Linked DNA regions of Oreochromis niloticus. The main gene of each other region encodes a partner of the protein of the gene in region 2 in a complex. Links are inferred from orthologs where the notes say so. Each region holds a gene or a part of one and is shown on either strand. Other genes may lie near its edges.

Region 1 (10,549 bases), on a different chromosome or scaffold from region 2:
CAGGAAATTACACATTTTATGACATACGATAAATTAGACGTTTTTAAGGTTTCTCTCTAACAGTCTAGTAGTTTACACATTCACCTAACAAGCCAAACGTCCCCAATTCAATCCAGAGAAGAGACACAGATTCTTTTGGTGTTTATGTAAGGACGGGCATCAAACATGAGGCGCTACCTGCTTTGGCAAAGAGCAGCCAAAAGTAGTTTTTTTTCCAGGAATCCATAGTCTGCAGCTGACCGATTATTATAAATGGTATTTGTTACACTATTTTTTAGCTCTCTGCTTTTATTGGAGTAGCTTTGCATGCTTTTCACTGTTCAGAATAATCCATGTTTACATACTCAGTTCATCTGCTGTCTGAAACAAGCAGTTACAGCTCTGTTCCCCTTCTTTTTAAGCCATTTAGTTTCTGATTGGCTACACAATGTTATCAGTATATAGATTTTCAAATGTAATTTTCAAAGCTTTTCCACAGGCTAAAGGTACTCTGTTGAGTTTCCAAACATTAGTAGGTTTAATAAGCAATTTTATATGGTTCCACTCTGGTTTGAAAAGCATATATAAACAAGTAAAACCTCCCACGTGTGCAAGCAGAGTTTAGAGTTTGTGTACAAGTCCATAGGGCAGTTTCAAGTGATATTTGTGGATTTACAAAGCAGGTTCCATACTTGGCACAGTTTCCCCTCTACATGTGCTAACTCTCACATCAAACAGTACAACCTGCCTCTTATTGAGGTGATACTCTAAGCAAATAAGATGCAAAAACTATGAGAACTGCTTCAATATTTCCTGGAAAGGTTGAGTGAGGATGTAGATTTGCCAAGACCTTACAACCTGGCAACCCAGAGCTTGTGCTTCTTAAAGTTTTATTACTGATTTTGTAAAGCATTTAATAATGTTAAAAAAAAACTATCTAATTAGATTCTTTATCTTTTTTTTTTAGAAAAAGAACAATTTTATTTAAAGGTACGTATTTAAAATTGATGGTTAAAAACCTTCTGAAATGAACTGAAGCCATCAAATAATGTGGAAAAAAAATACTATGACTTCATGGACATCATCTCTGTATGGTATTAACCCTGAAAAGCCTGAACCAAGAAATAACTGCCAGGAAATTCACACTCTCAGAACACTCTTTTTGAGAGTGTTTATTCAACCTTACTTTTAATTTTTTACAAAAAAGAAGTGAAATATCAATTTGCATATATGAGTTTTAATTTATTGCTACAACCGGCATTTTTGTGCAATTTATTGCTTAAAAGTTTATTGTGCAGTTTATTCAGGTTTTTCAGGAAAAAAGAAATCACATTGATAATGTAAGGGTCTAAAAAACTCATGTATCAATTATGATATACTTGGCATTACAGGGTTAAGTTAAAATAGGACCCAACTGTACTTTCATGCAATGCACATTTGTTCCACAAGATGGTGCTGAAATAAATGTAACATTATAACTTGTAAATCAGGTAAATCATTAGGAAAACATTCCTATTTGCAATGGTGGCCTGCAAAAGGCAACACGTTAAAAAACATAAAAAATGAAAAGAACGACACCGCCGAAAACATTTCAACACACCTGCTGAGAAAACCACTGCCTCCTGGTGGTGAAAGTTTTATTAACGCATGCGTACAATTTGCAGTGTGTGTTTACAAAAAGTACCTTTAAAATAGATTTTGTTGTGTCCGTGCACTGTAGGCTCCTGTAACTTTCACACCTTATAGTTGGCTGCAGTTTCTGTGCTACAGAGTCAGGAAAGTGCCAATATTGCATTGTTGAAATCAGTTTAACGTGAAATCTACTGGGGCTATATTTAAACCCCAATGCTGTACATGACCAATCACAAAGTTTGTCTTCAGTCCAGGGTTCGAACACTAACAGGCTGTTAGAGAGTAATGGTACAGGCAGACACCAAGAAAGGAGCCCGAGTTACTTTTATTACGCTACAACCTTCCAGTTCCTTCAGAGCACTGATCTATTGTGAAACCTGTCCAGATTCCATGTGAGGTGCTTTGTTGCATGCCATTGATGCCTACTGTTTCTTTCTTCTGCTCTCCTTTTTTGGTTTTGTTTGTTTTTGTTTTTTCAACTGTTGCTCTGTCAAGCGGCGTGCTTGACTAGAACTTAACCTTCCAGCATAGCTGTGACTTCTCTGACTTGTGCTTGTTTACATCTAGACGAGTTTTGGACTGCTAGTGTGTCTTTTCATTTGTGCATCATTCTCCTCCGGCATGCATTTCACCCATATTTCCACTGTAGAGTATAAAGACCTGGCAGCGTACTGCTGAGTGTAAATATGAAATCTAATGTAACTTGAAGTAAAAGTAAAGAGGGCTGGACATGGAGGAAATATTTTAATGGCAAGTTGGTAATAAAGAATGAGTAACATATGTAAATAGTCTGTAAATTATTGTTATTAATTATTCTTATTATTACTATTCAGTGTCTACAGTTACATTGAAGGTGCATTCCTGCTCCCTTGTGATCTTTACATAATCAAACTGCTTCTCTCTGCCTCCGACAGGACTGAATTATCATAGGATCTAGAGATGAACAGCCAATTGTTACACGGTTAACACCGCTTCTGTCGTCTTTCCTGAGATGCTTCTGTTTTCTCACACTCACAGCCAGACTTCTGAAGTCAAAGGGAAGAGAGGAGTGCTCTTATTTTATTATGCATTCTGTTTCTAAGTAGAAAAATACCCATTGATGTAAAACTAGTACTGTGACAATGTTGAGAACGCAAAATAAAATGATATACAGTCAAATCGGAGCAGTTGTCTGCCTGTTTGCATCCTGCTTGGTATTTCTTGGTGTCAGATGAACGACTGGGAAGATCAAGGAGCTACACTTCTTGTAGGCTGAATTCTAAGATCCCTAAATGAGTGAATGCATGAAAGCAGATGGAGAGGAGGAAGTAAATATGGCTGTGCTGTAGGCTCCTCTGTACCCTGACCTGAAGGCCGCATTCCTACTTTGCTGTACAGCTTTATTGTCCTTTTTTTTTTTTTAATGCAAAAGTATGTGCATCCCAGAACTGAACTGGCATAGTCTTCCAGATCAGTCTCACCTGCAAACATTTCCCAGTCCGTATTGTCAGGTCAGTCTTGCAGTATTGCAGGTTGCTGTTTTGACTTCAAGTCTTTCTCTGCAGATCTGTGGTGTATACCAGAGTAAGGCAGAAATGATCTAATAGCCTCAGCTGTGCAGATAGATGTGTCTTATGAGCTCTCTGTATATTTGTTTTACCACTCCCTTTAATGTCCATGCTCATTTAATGTCCATGCTCATAATAAAATATGAATTCTCACCTGTTACTGTGTCTTAAGTTGGTTTGAACAACCAACAAAGAGCAGATGCTGGCAGGTTTAGATGTTTATTGAAGTGCAGCAAGACGGATACTGGTAAGATTGAGAGTTTTCAAGTGTCTTACTCAGAACTCAGGAGGTGTACTTGGTCAGCTAGTTGCTGAGAGGGGATGGGTGGAGAGCTGGCAAGCAGGTGGAGAGGAGGTTAGTCCTTTGAGGGTAAATGCACTGGCATGCCAGAGCTGAGAAAAGCGGCTGATGGTGCTCACAGTCTTCAGGCATGTGTGACTTGGAGGCAGCAGGTTTCTCTTGTTCACAGAGAAAGAGCGTTACACAGGCACAGGAGATTACAGACAACCACAGCAAGGACAATCACCACCCATCAACAAAAAAATAATTAATTACACCATTAGGAATAGGCGTGGGAAGAACTGTCCAGACAGGAAAACCCGAGACTTAATGCCAGTCCAGCAACTCCACCTGAGACTGAGAGCAAAAGGGTACCAAAAAAGGAGGAAAATATAAGAAACTAAAGCCCATCCGGACAAAACATGTCAAAGTGGCCATTTTGGCCTCTATCAGGTGCCAACAATTGAAAATAAATGCATTGCACCATTTGGTAAATATTGTAGAGATAATTTTGAACATAGCTCTAATGGGTTAGGTTGTTCTAGACCTGCATGCACTATAGAAGGAATATTTATACATCCTATAGAGGCTTTTCTACTTCAAAGGGTTTTGTGCCAGCACTTGAGCAGGTTTTTCCTAACCCCAAACATGGTGTGGTGGCTGAAAATCGGGGAACTATATAGGAGTCCAAAACATCTTAGGACAGCATCTCTGTGATACAGTCATCCTAGTCATATGACCAGACTATAACAGATATTTTCCAAGAACCCGGTGGCTGTATACATTTCTTCCTTGGCACCTTTGGAGACCCAACCTTGTTTTAGAGTTTTATGAATCAAACACTGTCATGGAAGCTGCGGTGACTCCAATGGGAAAGGAAATCTTAGCACAGTGGATCAGCAATTACCCATGAATTTCTTGTGATAGCCACTGATCTTTGGGGTACAAATTTAAGACCAGCATGTGGTGCTTTTTTGTAGCAGTATGGTCTTTAAAGAGTGTAAAGAGTTCTATTTTAGCCACTGGCACTGCATCAGTGGAAAAGATGTACTAGAGCTCCAGAACCTCTGCCTGCTTCTTCATTCTTCCTAAAGGTGTCAATATTACATTTCAAAAGGTCCTGCTGAGAGTAGTCATAGAATATTCTCAAGAGTGCTTTAAAGGCTTCTCTACCCAATGATGGTCCTATAGCTGAAGAAACTAGGGCCTTTAAAGAACTGGGGTTTTTTTATATGTATATGTGATATATTCAGTCTTTATACCCTATTCTTCTTAAAAGTTGCCTAGTGTCCCTTATGTAGATTTTTACTGAATTGAAATAGACTGCATAGTTGTGGAACCAGACTCTTTTTTTTTTTTTTGGCTTTTGTATACTCAGCCTACAGCCAGTCTGACAGTACACAGTCTACTCTAGCAGGATAAAGTGCTTTGAAATATCTAGCATTGCAAATGTTTACACTTTAAGGATCAACGTCTTGCTCAAGAGCAGGGTGGGCAGGGGTTAAAACTATCAACCCTGTTAGTTAACCACTGGCTCCTGAAACAGAGTGTGCAAGGACAGGACTATCTACAGTAACTGAGACTAGATTAGCTCAGAATTGGTCTTCTTAGAGTGTTTCCATTATTAGATTTAGTGCACACTATGCATGTATTCGTGCATTTATGTATTATCTTGTATTGGTCGGGAACTTTCATGCAAACTTGAAACTCCACATCCTCAGTTTGACCTGACAACATCATCTTGATTTTATTCTCAGCTTTAAATTCAGCAGCACATAAGACATTGTACAAGTACTCCAACAGGGCGAGTACTACCTTGTGATGAATAAAATGACCTTTATGTGTGAATTTAGTGGAATTCCTAAAATCCCTACATTCCATGAAACAATAGTGAGGATATGATACCCACTGTCCTCGGCTGCAGCTATACTGTCCTGCCCATGAGTGATACATATGTGCTTCTATTTTCCTCCCCTTCACGTAGCTCCAACAATACAGAGGTCACCAGGGACACTGAGATATTTCTATCAACCTAAACAAAATTCTCAGGAAGTTGAAGCCTCTGATGAAGGTCACAACTGCAGTACTCTTATTCTTTTTTCAGTCTCGCACAGCCAGCATGCCTTGGCTGCTTGCCTAACTGTGGCAGGTGGTCTGAGTGACAGTTTGCCCTGTTTGTCTGTCTGGCCCTTGAGGCTGGATCTAAAAATAGATTCCAGCAATGAGGGCCACATCCGTAGTGTCAGCAGGACAACGTCATCATGCGGCCGGGAGGGACCAAGTACAGGGCTTCATTTCCTCTGCCAGCAAAGAACAGCATGTATTAGACAAGTACACATTCAATGATACGGAAGCAAACCAGCTCCAGGTTTTTATTTCTGTCAGTAGGGTGTGTGCATATTTTTCTTTTATTTATACAGCTTTTAAATATCTTAGTTGGTGGTGAAAATTATTCTACACACATGACAGTGGATAAAGAAAAGAAAAAAGTTATTGTCCATCATTTAGGTCCAGTTTCCAGTACAAGTCAGAAGCAGAGCCCTCTCTACTCTAGGGCTGAGTGGTGTCTTTGCATAATACGTCATCTAGTGGAGTCCTGCAGATATTACTATGATATGTTCAAGTACCGTCGGAGATTTCGAAAAACCAATAGCACTAGTATTCATGACATACACGAAATTTAATTTCTTTAAAGGTCTTGTGTTTTCCAACTTTAAATTCGAGGGCTCATAGTCAGCGAGACGGAGGATCATGGAGTCACGTATGGGTTTGTTTTTTTGTTTTTTTCCTGGGATTGCTCTACCTGAAAGCTACAAATATGAATTGCATATTTTAGTAATGAAACATGAGTGAAACATATACATTATATACGGATAACTTGGTGAATAAAATAAAATATAATTCAACAAACACTTTAAAAGTCACAATCTTTATGACCACGGTCTTCTGTAAAGAACACGTGAAAAATAAAAATCAAAGTTGGTGAAAGAGTTATTTTTTACAACGATATTGATTTAGATTTTTTTGTAAAACACACAAACAAACAAAACAAAACATAATTTGTTATTCAAAGTTACATACCGAGCTTACTGGCAGTGTAATGTGTTAGAAGACCGTTCGCATTTGTCTATAGTTTACATGGGTCAGAGAACGCCTCTCGAACATATCTGTTACGTCATCAGCATGGGACAGAAACGGGTGAAAGGTACTTTGCTGCTTTGGTTCGGGAGCAGACCGATGGCTCTATGAAGTAGGGAGGTTTCTGCTAATAGAATGATGAACATGAACAGATTAATCGTCTTCTCTCGAACCTTTCGCATTGGACAGCGGTTGCTTGGCTGTCACGCGAGGCATGCTGGGAAAGAAGAGCTGAGACTACAGCAGCGGAGGAGCATTAAAACTCACTCCAGACACCTGGCGTATGCGAAGGATCTGTTCCTCGGTCAAGTGAACAAGGTAAAGGAAAAGAGCTGCCAGAACGCCTTACCAAGATAGTGATGGGCGGAGGAAGTCGTTTCAGAAAAGACTTTGTACTTTAGATGATAACTATATTCAACGCTAACAATCACCACCGTTCTAGCTTCGAATGAAGTATCGTTTGTCGTTTAGGAAACAAAGGGCTTTAGACGCAACACCAGAAAAATAAGACAAATAAAATGCAGGGAAGCTTGAAAAAACTGAGGCTGAGGCACTGTAACACCTGTTTGGAGTAAATGGTGATAGAGACTTTAAATATCTACCCAAAGTAAAACCAGTTATCGTGTAGGAAGGTCTGTTTATCTCACACAGTTATCACACAGTGATAACGTCTTCCTTTAGATTCCTCCATGTTGACATGAATCAGAATCAGAATCGTGTTTATTGGCCAAGTATATGTGCAGACAAATACAAGGAATTTGGTTCCGGTAGATGGTGGCTCTCAAGCACAGCAATGTAAATCACACACACGCACACACACACACACACACGTGTCTATATATACATTACACATGCATACACATACATACACAAAGCTGTGTAAACTAACTATAAATAACTAATCTAAACTTATATACATAAAATACAGAAATGAAATGAGGTGGAATGAATTCTTCAGAATGTACATAAGGTGCAGTTGCAGTCTGGCAGTGGGAGCAGTGTGACAGGTCAACTGTTTAGAAGGGAGATGGCGAGGGGAAAGAAACTGTTCCTGTGTCGGGTGGTCCTGGTCTGCAGGCTTCTGTACCGTCTGCCAGAGGGCAGCAGATCAAAAAGTCTGTGTCCAGGGTGTGGGGGGTATGTGATGATTTTCCCTGCCCGTTTCCTGGTTCTTGAGAGGTACAGGTCCTGGATGGAGGGCAGGGGGGCGCCGATGATCCTTTCTGCTGCCCGTACAGTCCGCTGCAGTCTGCTCCTGTCCTGTTTAGTGGCTGCACCATACCAGACTGTGATGGAGGAGCACAGGACAAACTCAATGACCGCAGTGTAGAACTGGATCAGCAGCTCCTGTGGAAGACTGTACTTCCCCAGTTGTCTCAGGAAGTACATCCTCTGCTGGGTCTTTTTGAGGATGGAGTTGATGTTGGTCTCCCACTTCAGGTCCTGGGAGATGGTGGTACCCAGGAACTTGAAGATCTTCACAGTCGACACAGGGCTGTCTGATCTGGTAAGGGGGGGCAGAGTTGAGGGATGTCTCCTGAAGTCCACTGTCATCTCTACAGTCTTAAGCATGTTCAGCTCCAGATTGTGCTGACTGCACCAGAGTACCAGCCGCTCAACTTCCTGCCGGTATGCAGACTCATCACCATCCTGAATGAGGCCAATGACAGTGGTGTCATCTGCAAACTTTAGGAGTTTAACAGCCGAGTTCTTGGAGGTGCAGTCATTAGTGTAGAGGGAGAACAGTAGTGGTGAGAGGACACATCCTTGAGGGGCACCAATACTGAGGGACCGAGTTTCAGAGGTGATCTCCCCCAGCCTCACTTGTTGCTTTCTGTCTGTCAGGAAGCTGGTGATCCACTGACAGGTAGCTGGAGACACGCTGAGCTGGGAGAGTTTGGAGGAGAGAAGTTCAGGCACGATGGTGTTAAAAGCTGAACTAAAGTCCACAAACAGGATCCTGGCATAAGTTCCCGAATCATCACACATTCAGTCTCCCTCTGTAACACATCCCAAGGCTGCTCTGCAGGATTTGTTTCTAAAGTCTGGAAGAGGCCATTAAAAGATGGTAAATCATGGCGATAAAGGGATGCACATGGTTACCAACAACCCTTACAGTGCTGTGATTGCTTCAAGGATCTCAGAGTGTGGAGAGAAAAGATTCCCTACACAGCAACAGCAATCTTTACTTTTGGCACAAGGCAGGTCAGCACAGTGGAATCATGCTCTTGATTCTCCCATCAGGACAGAACAGGGATTCACCAGCTTTTACTTTTCAGTCAAGTTTCTGCTCCCTGCAGTCTTACAGTTCTGTACCTGCCACTCACTGCGTGGTTTCTGCAACATTCTGAGTAAACTCTGGAGACTGATGGGCAGGTGAGCTGGTTCAGAATCATTTAAAACCAGCCCAGGCCACAGTCAGATTCAGGGACATGACCTTTTTCTCCTTTCTCGTATTTAATATGAACATCAGCTTTATCTGCAGGATTTAATGCTTCACACTATCACCACATGTTGGGTTAGAAGTATATAACTATATAACACAAAAATATGACTTGGACATTAACATAGATGCATAACCCTGTTACGATCTCTAAAAAGGCCTGTTTTGTTCTCCAGGCTGAGGTCTTTCCTTATCCGGAAATTGGAAATGATGAGTTGGAGGAGATAAAGCAGCTCGTTGCACCAGTAGAGAAATTCTTCAGTGATGATGGTGAGGTGGGACTTGAGTACATGCATGTGATCAATGACTTTCAGATATGATTTTTCAGAGGAATTAAATGACTGACATTGGAATTGGTGGATTTTGTTTGTTTTTGTTTCGGGGTTTCTTTGTCAGTTGACTCAGCAAAAATTGACCGAGAGGCCACAATCCCCCCGGAGACTCTGCAGGGGTTGAAGGATCTTGGGCTGTTTGGAATCATGATTCCTGAAGAATACGGTGAGATGATTTTAACAAAGCCCTTCTAAAAGCTAGTCTTGTCTCTCGGGATCCATCTTAAAAAATCAGTGAAAATTGATTTCAAAGCATTTTTGAGATGATCTTTAACTCCACCCAACTTTGCCCCAAAGTGAAGTTAGAAGTTAAGAGCAATGGTCTGTACGTTATACTAATACTTTGATCTGTGTTGTTACTTATTTTTACATTCTTTTATTTAGGGTATTTTTTTAAGGACAACTCCTCCCTCATATAATTTGTGTGACTATTTAGCTTGTATACACAACTCTTCTAAGGCTACTAGTTAGTTTCAACATTGCACTATACATAACAGAAGGATGCAGCTCCTGTTTCTGAAAAGTCAAGCCGGTGCAGCAGTGCCTGAAACTTGCATTCTTTTCATTGGCCAGCAGAGGGCAACTTCCTCCTGTGTAGGGCTGCCACAAACGATTATTTTGATAGTCGACTAGTCACCGATTATTTTTGCGATTAGTCGACTAATCAGATCATGCATCGATTGGACGTAAAACTTACAGCTTGAAAATATGTTAAACGTTTATTTTGTGACCCAGAAAGAATAATAAGAGTAATATTAAAACTAACTAGCTGCCGCCATTGTTGACAACTGCGCTGGGCCGCACTATGAATTCTGGGACACAGCTTCTTCTTCTTCGGGGTTTAACGGCAGCTGGCATCCTTTACATGCACTGCTGCCATCTTCTGTTTCAGTCCGTTATTACACTTTTAAATCCTACTACTTATTCCTGCGTCTTTTGGGATCTTACAAAGCTTCAAACGACGCGTCGACTATTAAATCAGTCGTCGACGATTTTGATAGTCGACGTAATCGTGACTAGTCGACTAATCGTGGCAGCTCTACTCCTGTGGTTGCAGAAAAGACATCTGATTGTGTGGACACCCTTAGTGGCATTTATTTCAATTCACTTTTATTTATTTATATATTTATACAGCACCAAATCACAAGAACAGTCACCTCAAGGTGTTTTATATTGTAAGGTAGACCCTACAATAATA
Region 2 (10,367 bases):
TCGAGGTAGAAGAGGGCCAGACATTAGAGCAAGAAGGGTTAGGGTTAGGCTTTATCAGCTGGATTCACTCACTGCACACATAATGTGCATAAGGTTTACAATTAATAAAAGTACATTAACATGCACCTCTGCTTTATCATTTACTTTAAACCCAAATTAAACTACATTAAACCACCAAAACAGGTGATGACATTCAAACAGTAATTAGATCACCATGTTTTTGAACATGTGCATGCATACCAACCACAGGATTGCACTAATTCCTGAAGCCAGCCCAGTTCTGCTGAGCTAAAAACCTGAAGAATTCACTCTCAGCTGAAGTTAACATCAAGTTGAATTTTTCTACACTCTCAAATGGCAAATTTCCGAGAGCTACAGTACATGATCGAAGCTGCTGACATGAAAAGTTTCACTAACTGGAAGCGTTGGCCGAACTGTAAATGAAGCACACACAGAGCATTGTACTCACTCTGTAGCAGGTAGTACATGGTGCCAATCCCTCCACCCGTCAGCACAGTGGTGAAGATGGTGAGCTGCTGCAGGTGACTGTTGGAAATCCTCATGCTTGCTTTCTTTCCTGCAAAGAATGACAATGATCTGGTCGGTATACAGAGAGCATCGGTGTTTTAATAAGGAAGTATTCATGATTTGCCGTGAATTCTGTGGTGACTTTAGAAAACAATCTAAAAGTTTCTGAGAGGCTTAAGTCTTACACATTTCCAATTTTCTGAAAAAGAAAAAACATGTTTTGTCATTTTTAATAGCAAAAAATATGGTGACGCACTGACCCTCTCTCCTACGCACATACAGTTGGACAAGTACTATTAATATCACCGCCTGCATCCATGAGACAGTTCAGCTAATGATGGTAAAGGTTGCCAACACACAAAGACACATACATGCACATACATAATCCATCACAAAGTGCACCATAAGAATAACCACTCCATATCCAAATAACTGTGAATACATCCAATACATATAGCTATAAAGTCAAGTATGGTTCATGCTTTTGATTTTTTCCCTTATTTTCAGTCATGTATCTACTGTTTTTATGGTGGATGCTAAGATTGAACATGTCCAAAGCTAGCACAGGTAGAGAGGAGGTGATGGTGCTGTACGAGTGGTGCCTGGAAATAACCCGTCTCTTAACATCAGCAAAACCAGAGAAATGATAGTGGACTACCGGAAACGACCAGTCGGGGAACACCAGCCCATCCACATCAACGGTGTCAAGGTCGAAAGGGTCAGCAGCTTCAAATTCCTTGGAGTCAACATCACTGAGGACTTCTCCTGGACCCTTCACACAGACACTGCTATCAGGAAAGCTCGCCACCGACTCTACTGTCTGAGGAGGCTGAGGAAGTTTGGCATGAACGCCAACATAACCTCAAACTTCTACAGGTGTGCGATCAAGAGCTTGCTGATGAGCTGCACTACAGTTTGGTTCGAAGCTGCTCTGCCAGCAGCCGGAAATCTCTACAGAGAGTGAAAGCAGCAGAGCATGAGGACTCCTGTCATTCAGGATCTATCTTCAACGGTGCCTCCGTAAAGCACACAGCATCATCAAGGACCACAGCCACCCAGCACATCAGCTGTTCTCCTTGTTACCATCTGGCAGACGTTACAGGAGTCTGTCTGCTCCGACTACAAGACTCAAAAACTGTTTTTACCACCAAGTCGACATCTCAACCACAACACTTCACAGGATGCACACAGCTGTTCTGCAGTTTCACAGGTACATAATACACTCAGCACTGGTCACCCCATTTTTATTTTTTTTATTACTATTTCAATAAAAATAAAAACCCTCACTCTTACTGACCCTTAACCCTTACTATACTGCGGAGTGACTGTCTTCTGCTCGTCAAATACATTTTGATCCTGTGCTAACTTCTATATGACAAATAAAACGGAAACTGATGAGCCAAAATGTTAGGCTCAGCCTGGCAGCATTATATCAGCGCAAGTGGATCTCCCTAAAATGGTCAGACTGAGGATGAAAACAATGGCTGCACCACGATAATAAGGAAGTTTAACTGCAGCTGAGAGTCTCTGTTTAGCTGACATGCAGAGGCCTAAGAAGGTCAAACTCATGGAGAGAGAGAAGACGAACGCTTCTTTTCTTCTTTATGGGGTTTATTGGTGGTTGGCAAACAGCAAAATGGTGCATTACCGCCACCAACTGGCGTGGAGTGTGGACCGAAATGACAAAAAAAAAATACAAAAATTTAAATCTTCCCAAACAAATGGGTCTGCCTTAAAAACCAAAATACAGCCTGATTATTTTCACTTACAGAGTTTGTACGAAATAAATCAATCAAGTCCAACTTGACTCTCATATCATCCAGCTTTTTGATCAGTTGTCTTCTTTCAACATCATACTTTGACAATGCAACAAAACGTTCTATTGTTTCCTGTTCCCTACTGCAGTCACACTCCCCTGTACAGTGTTTTCCTATTAAAAGTAATGTGCTATTCAAACCAGTGTGTCCGAATCTAAGTCGAGATACAACCGTCTCCTCTCTCCTGTTTCTTCCTGTACATCTCATTTCTCCTACTTTCCTTTGGATTTTGTAAAACCATCGGCCTTTCCTCTCTTCCTCCCATTGCTTTTGCCACCTTTCCTTCATTTTGTATCGTATTCTACTCTTGATCTCTGTCCTACTAACACTAATAACCATATCCATCATTGGTCTCCTTGTTGCTTCTTTTGCTGTCCTATCTGCTGTTTCATTTCTGCTGATACTCATAAGAATGTGACCATAAGCCCCATCATAACAGTTCTGAATAATGTTTGCTGGATCTCTATCAGAATGTCAGGTCTGCATTCTGAGTGATTGCCTTGCAAACCAGCCAGTGATGAGTTCGAGTCCGAGCGTATCACAGATCTTAGTGGTCTGGTTTCTTCAGTCCACTGGACAGCTAACAATATTGAAACCATTTCTCCTGTGTACACTGATAAATCGTCACTGATCCTTTTCCCGACCTTGATATTAAACTCAGGAACAATAAATGCTATCCCGCTTTGGTTGGCTGTATTCTTTGATGCATCTGTGTAGATTTTTCAAACTGTCTACAGAAGCAACAAGTAAATAAGTATAGTTAGGGTGACCATATTTTGATTTCCAAAAAAAGAGGACACTTGGCCCAGTCATGAAGAACTTTAATAATACTGTTTGCTTAAAGAAAACATATTTAAATGATGCCTTCTCTGTGCGGTAAAAGGTGAAATAAAAAGTGTCATAAAAGCTTTTACAAGTCAACAAGTGCAAAAAAAGAGGACAGTTGGTCACCCTAAGTATAGCTAAGCACACGGGGTTTGAAAAACTAACACTTTTCTTTTTTAAATATAATTTGCTTCTTGAGGAAGGGAAACGAGGACAAAGGGCTGAGATGTCCAGTTTGCTGAAACACATACACTGCATGTCAAGGTTATCTTCTATATATGTCTAAATGTCGTTATTCACTTGAAAGAAAATGATATTTAAATAGCTAAGGTGTGTCACAGTTCAAGGGCTGCATCCGTGGATACAACTATAACACCACACGCCGGTCACACATCTACACAAACACTCACCTTGCGTTACGGCGGACCATTGTATTCGCTCTACATCCGTTAACGTCACAAAACACATAGCCAATCGGTTGTGGGTGCGCTTTATTAAACAGCCGGTTGCGCCCGTCGTCGCTTGTTCGCGCAGGCGGTGTTTATCCAAATATGATATTAGATCCTGTCGGGCATGATTCAGTGAGACTCTTTGCAGAAAGAAGCTGAAGCTGGAAGCCGTCCTTTACCGCAGTACTACATGAGACCTGTTTATGGTGGTTCATCAGCAGCACAGCGCGTCTCACCACCGTCCCTCTGGCCTCATACATGTCCTGCATCACCCTCACATGTCACTCCTGACTCCTTCGTGTAGTACCAGTTCCACTCTCTGTACTTTATCATCTGATTTCTTATGGGGTTTAAAAGAAGCCAGCTTAAAATGAAACTAAAAAATATTGGCATTGAAAAATAATATTGTAACTAAAATAAATAAACAGAAACATTTTGTATTGAAAGTGAAAAAAGACTCATTGAAACTCTAAATATAGACATTAAAACAAATAACTCCTGACCAAGTCTATGGGCTCAAAATGTGGTCATAAATATTTTGTACTTGTAAATCAGGATTTGTATGTGTAAAAAAAATTTGTGTGTGTGTAAAAAAGATTTGTGTGTGGACTTAGCCAAAAAAACCCTGCAAGTTACAAGTACGAATTTTGACCCTATTTTTCTTCCTTTAAGCTGATTGGTCAATGTCATGTCAATCACAAATTAAATAATCCAATCAGAGAACAGATGGGTTTGGCTGACGGGGGGCGGGATGCTTTACGGACCTTCAGGTCCTGGAAGGGTAACACAATTTGAAGATGGAGGGCAGCGGTGGCGCTTCTGCGGCGCAAGTAAGCTTTAATTTATGGTTTACTGGAACAAGCTAATTGTCCAGACATATATTTTTGAATATCATGTTCGGTTCGGTGCCAAAAGCTAGCCTAAAAAGGGCTCTCAACATTAGCCCTAGTGTTGCATGTGTTCAAATAGTCTCCTGTGTGGCACGGTCTGTCTGCTTAAACATCAGCATCGTGGAGAATTATGTGTTTGGAGTTTAATCCCGATGAGATGTCGTTTTGGTAATAATTGGAACTGAAATGCTCTGACTTGACCTTAGCACTGGTCCCAGGTCACCCCCGAGTTTGTGTTAGAGTAATACTACAGTAATTACAGCACACAACAACTTTCAGCAGCTACTGAAAGTTAGGGGACCTAGCTTCAGTGAGCGTTTTGGGATTTATGACAGCTTATAGGCAGCGACATTAAGAAGTACTCTGTCATACAGTACCAGATTGACCAAGAATGCTTCTGTAGTAACTGTAGTGCAGTGTCTGTCTGGTGTCAGTAAGCTAACGTCTGTTGATATTTGCTTTACTGGATGTGTCTTGTTCAAAATTTTAAGAAGGAATTCAGGAGAAAAAGATTTAAAAAGATTGAATTTGCTTCAGCAGTTGAAATTACAAGTTTATAGTGCCAGCCTTTTGTGTGAACCAGCTTCCCAAAAAGGATAATGCTGAAACGGGCTTTACAGCTTATATACTGTGACATAAAAACAGATGCTGATTCTAAGGCCCAGTTCAGGGCATCTTGTTCAGACTCCCTAACCCAGAGACTAATCTAACCATTATCGTGTGTTTGTAAGCATGCTGCAAAAAACCCCTCTGCACTCTGTGTCCCTGCAATATTTCAAATACAGCGCTGAATGACGCTCTCAACCTTCAAACATGGAGTGCCAACATGCTTATGAGCACATTTGCATTGTGTACATCTTAAAAAAATAATGAAACAGCCTTATTTAATAATTTTGTAAACTTGTAAATAAATTTTCAACCCTAACAGATGTCAAATGTGTTTAGGGACTTTTAAAGTCTTTCTTCATCGGGTTATGTGTTTTGAAGTGTGCTATACTAAATTTGTGGGTCATCTGTGTCATCATGGGAACATCCACGGGGTACTTCAGAGAGAACCCTTCTAAATAGGAGAGTGTATGATACATCCATAGAGAAACGTGTAAATCTTTGAAAATTGTCTGATTGTTTTACTTAACAGGTGACTGTAAATCAAGTGGACCTTGGTCTATCTCCCTCCAGAACAGAGAACCTGGATGTCCCTGTGACTCTTTGGTGAGTTCATTTTTTTTTCATTATTAAAGTAATGTTGTTTGAATTTTTTGAATATAGCAAGGTGGCACAGGATAGAACATATTTAAAAATAATTTTTAATGCAATTCAGTTTCTTTACTGTATTACAAAGTTAATCAAAATAAAAAGATTTTCATGAGAATATTATTTGGTTTTATTGAGTTTTACGCAGTTTGACATATCATTGTTCCTTCAATGCACTTCATATGATATCAGTAATTCCATCAATTTTTTCTTCTTTCAGGTGGCTTTAGGAAGACATGTTTTCCAAAACCTTCAAAATAGGCTGGTGCAGTCCTACCAACAGCAGCCCTTGGACCTTGATCATATTGAGTTCCTCTGCGTGAACGCATCAACTCTAGTCTGTTCTCTTTCTGCTCATATTAATGTTCCATCACTGGTAGGTTTATTTGATTTAGTTTTGGTTATCTTTAAAAATCGTTTCAATATATGCCATTCTTATGTATCTTATAATGTTAATTTTACAGTGTAGTAATTATGCTATACAAATAAACCTGTCATCCATTGCTTTGTTAAATCCAAGATGAAATTTTGTTCTGTGTTTCAATTAGAGCTGGGCAATAAAACGATAACGATATGTATTGCGAAATAACTTTTTCTCGATAGAAAAATTAAACTATTGCGATAGGCCTCATCTCTCTTGTCCTCTTAAAAAAAAAGAAAAAAAAGAACAGCCAATCAAAATTAAGTAGCGCAGAGCCGAACCAATCACAGCCGCAGCGTCACGTCACGTGACTTGTTACGTACAGCACAAGCGCCAAGGCGCACATGTGTATTTGTTTTTGCAGCCGTGCAGCCCGGGTAATGAAGGAAGTGAGTGTGCCGACTAGAGAAAAATCAACCGAGAGCGTGAGCGAAGGTTACCGAAGAAAAAACAGATGATGGTTCCAATGCCGGAGAGCTTGTCGAACGGAAGGGCCACAGAAGTTCCGTAGTGTGAAGGTATTTCGGCTATTTCAAGTCTGACAAAAAACAGAGTAGCGCGCACTGTAAATTGTGCCGAAAGCAAGTCTGGAAATACAATAAAGCGGTGCATGCTCAATCTCTGACTGAAAGCGCTGATTCGTCATTCGGCTTTTGTCAGACTAAAGTAACTGTTAAAACTGTTTGAAAAGCTAAGCTATACAACAAGGAGAGATTGAGAATTTCCTTTTAGTTCTCAGTTTATTTGATATTGACAAAAGTTAGTCAATTTTGTCTGTTCTTCTGTAAAACAAACTAAGATTTATTTTTAGAATTAATATTTTGTTTCTAAGTGGAATTGACAATTTAGTCTGTTTTGTTTGTTCTATTTTGAAACTTAAACGCTTTAGCGGCTGCCTTTTGTGTAGTTTGCAATATTTGCCTTTATTTATCTGAAACTGAAGTCTCATGTTCCTTAAGTACATCTACCCTGTTGAACTTAAATGGTAAATGGCCTGTATTTATATAGCGCTTTTATGGTCCCTAAGGACCCCAAAGCGCTTTACATATCCAGTCATTCACCCATTCACACACACATTCATACATAATACAACTTATTATGGGAAATAAATATTTAAATCAAAACAAGCTGCTGATTATTTCACATTTTACTTGTGAGTAACGGCACATTTAAAACTTACAAATATAGTTATTTGGCTTATATCGTGATATATATCGTTATCGCCTGAAATGAAAAAAACATATCGTGATATGAAAAAATCTTATATCGCCCAGCTCTAGTTTCAATATAAAGATTGGGGATAAGAATAATGTTACTAAGATGGTAAAACTGAATTCTAGGATTTCATCCAACTAAATATTTTAATGCAACCATTTTTTAGGTAGTTGAAGCTCTTCACCACCTTATCTGCCTCATCCATTCCAATATGGATACGAGAAGGTCTGCCATTGTTGTTGACAGCTCAGCTGGTGAACGGGGGAGGGCAAAGCTCTATGTTTCCAAAGACCACCTCAAAGATCTAATAAAGATGGACCTCTCCGTTCCTTGTATCTCCAAGCTTTTGGGCATATTGCAGAAAACAGTCCGACGAAGAATGGAAGAGTGGGGCCTCTCAATAACGGCAACCTACAGCTCACTATCAGATGATGAACTTGACAACTTAATTGCAGCCATAAAACAGGAATCGAAATGTCTGGGTTAGTTATTCATGTGAAAAATAATGCTTGTAATAAGATTCTATTTTATTTTTCTTGCTTGCAACCTTTCATATTTACATGAATAACACTAGCTGAATGTCATGATTAGTTAGTAGTTTGATTTACTGTACTATAAGTGCCTTCCAATGTGCTGTTGTAATTGTTTCACTATGGGATGTCTTTTTAGGCTACAGAATGGTTAAAGGACGCCTCAGGGCACTGGGCCACAGGGTGCAGTGGAACAGAGTATGGGATTCCATGCGTCGTGTTGACAGTGCTGGAATCCTTGAAAGGATGGCAAATCTTGGATGTGTTGTTAGAAGGACATACAGTGTTCCTGGTCCTCTGTCACTGCTCCACATTGACACCAACCATAAGTTAATTAGGTAAGTTTAACATAATAGTCATAGGGCACATTTGGGCCCATTAATATTTAACTCATTAATGCATATGCAAACACTGTATTTTACATTACGCCATTACTTTACCGCCAAGTTAGTAGTAATATATATATATATATATATGTATATATATATATTCTCTAAATTCTAACAGATTAAGAGAAGTTCACCAGCCTTTGCATGCTTTTCGAAATGTGCGATCCACTTTCAAATTTGACAAGTCCTAACTTGTAATGTTTTATATTTTGATTATTGGTGAAAAATGCAATTAATTAATTATACTCAGTGGCTGAAGTCTTAGGGGCTGTGTCTTTGTCTCTTTGCAGATATGGACTTGTGATGTTTGGTGGTGTTGATGGCTTCTCAAGGAAGGTTTGCATTCTTCACTAAAATAGCAGAAAATGTGATGCTAGTAATAGTACTTCCATAATGTCTCTTTATTTTCAGATCTTGTACTTGAAAGCAGCTAACAACAACAAGGCTTCTACAGCGCTGACGTTCTTCCTTGAGGCTGTACAGAAGCATGGATTTCCATCGAGGTATAATGCAAAAACTTGCTGTTCACATTAGAGCATAGAGGCTTAAATCAGTCTCACTTCAATTTTGAATACACATTCGTGCCTGACACACATGCTTACTGTCTGGAAATGATTGAATTTTCCTATCATTTGTATTCTATTTGCAGTGAAATACTACAATAATAGTAATAATAATAATAATAATGATACGTTTTATAACATCTTAAGGTTACCTTACAATAGCACAAGAACAATAGCAACAATTCAATATATTGAAACATTGCAAATAAAATTTAGACATAAGTTAAAGAAGAAAAAAGCAAGCATGACAGTATAAAAGCTGAGCAAGTTAAAATGGACTAATACAGAATCAGGTGTATGCAATTCTGAATAGATGGGTTTTGAGACGTGACTTAAAAGTGGTGAAAGAGTTTGTGGTCCGGAGATCTGGTGGAGGTACATCCAAAGTCTTGGGGCAGAACAACTAAAGGCTCTGAGTCCCATTGTAGTTAGGCAAGCATGTGGAACAGACAGAAGGGAAGCTGAAGAAGAGCGAAGTGTATGAGGGGGCGAGTACAAATGTAGTACAAATGTAGAAGATCAGATAAATATGGACGAATATGTCAAATTAGTGCCAGCTGTTTCCCATGTGTTTTCATTTCCTCTAATCACACTTGTGTGTATTTAGTCTGTGTGTTTCTGTTCATTCTTTATCATGTTGTCTGTTGTCGTTTGTGCCATGTTTCCATGCGTCTCTGCTTCTACGCTCCAGGTTTCAGGTATCTTTGTATCCACGGCGAGTTTCATGTTTTGGTTTTTATGTATATCTTTAGTCTGCCCAGTTTAGCTTCATCTCTGCCTTTTGTTTTGTATAGTTTTTACCAGCCTTAAGAAACGGCTTGCTTTCTGTTAACATTCAAGTTTTGTTCCACATTCCATTTTTGTCTGCACTTGGGTCCACTATTCATACTTCACACAGTCAGCTGCTCAGCCAGACTGTGACAGAACAACCATTTCACTGACTTTGCAAGTTAACATTGCTAGTTGTGCATTGTACTTTTGGGGGAAAATATTTACAAATATAGTTCTGCATAAGACAGGGGTGTCCAAAGTCCGGCTTTTTAATTGGCCCTCAAGTAATTTTATAAATAGGATAGAAAATGGCCCGCACTTCAACTTTTGCTTGAGTGTATTGCACTTCTTAGTTTTAACACCAGGGGGAGCTGCTGTTGATCAAGGCAGTTGCTCCACCAAAAAGGACAATCACAGAAGAAATTTACCCCAAGTTACCAAACATGGCAGAACCAAAGAAGCGAAAGGTAGAAAGTGAATGCAGAAAATTTCAGACACGGTGGGAGAGTGAATATTTCTTCAAAGAATTCAAGGGGAAGTGTCTGTTTGATCTGCACTGAAACTGTGGCAGTTATGAAAGAGTATAATGTACGACGTCATTATGAAACCAAACATCAGGCCTATGCATCCTACACTGGTGCTGAGCGAGAGCAGAAATTAAAGCAAAGGCTAGCTCTCCTGCAGGGTCAGCAACAGTATTTTTTTCGTGCTCAAA

The links.
Region 1: coa1 (region 2) and acad9 share a complex: the UniProt entries of both Homo sapiens proteins name them as parts of the mitochondrial complex. The link is inferred for Oreochromis niloticus from reciprocal best matches to the Homo sapiens genes COA1 and ACAD9.

Annotation. Positions count from the first base shown.
Region 1 is NC_031970.2:37,936,011-37,946,559, forward strand, and holds the start of acad9 (complex I assembly factor ACAD9, mitochondrial), read left to right. Parts: upstream 1-6,602; 5' UTR 6,603-6,711; coding exon 6,712-6,894; intron 6,895-9,195; coding exon 9,196-9,289; intron 9,290-9,415; coding exon 9,416-9,517; intron 9,518-10,549. UniProt on the Homo sapiens protein: As part of the MCIA complex, primarily participates in the assembly of the mitochondrial complex I and therefore plays a role in oxidative phosphorylation.
Region 2 is NC_031982.2:1,693,002-1,703,368, reverse strand, and holds the start of coa1 (cytochrome c oxidase assembly factor 1 homolog), read right to left. Parts: upstream 3,915-10,367; 5' UTR 3,639-3,914; coding exon 3,581-3,638; intron 578-3,580; coding exon 470-577; intron 1-469. Other genes in the region: uncharacterized protein LOC100710183, read left to right, coding at 4,371-4,449, 5,648-5,721, 5,984-6,139, 7,566-7,881, 8,069-8,267, 8,609-8,654, 8,730-8,821. UniProt on the Homo sapiens protein: Component of the MITRAC (mitochondrial translation regulation assembly intermediate of cytochrome c oxidase complex) complex, that regulates cytochrome c oxidase assembly.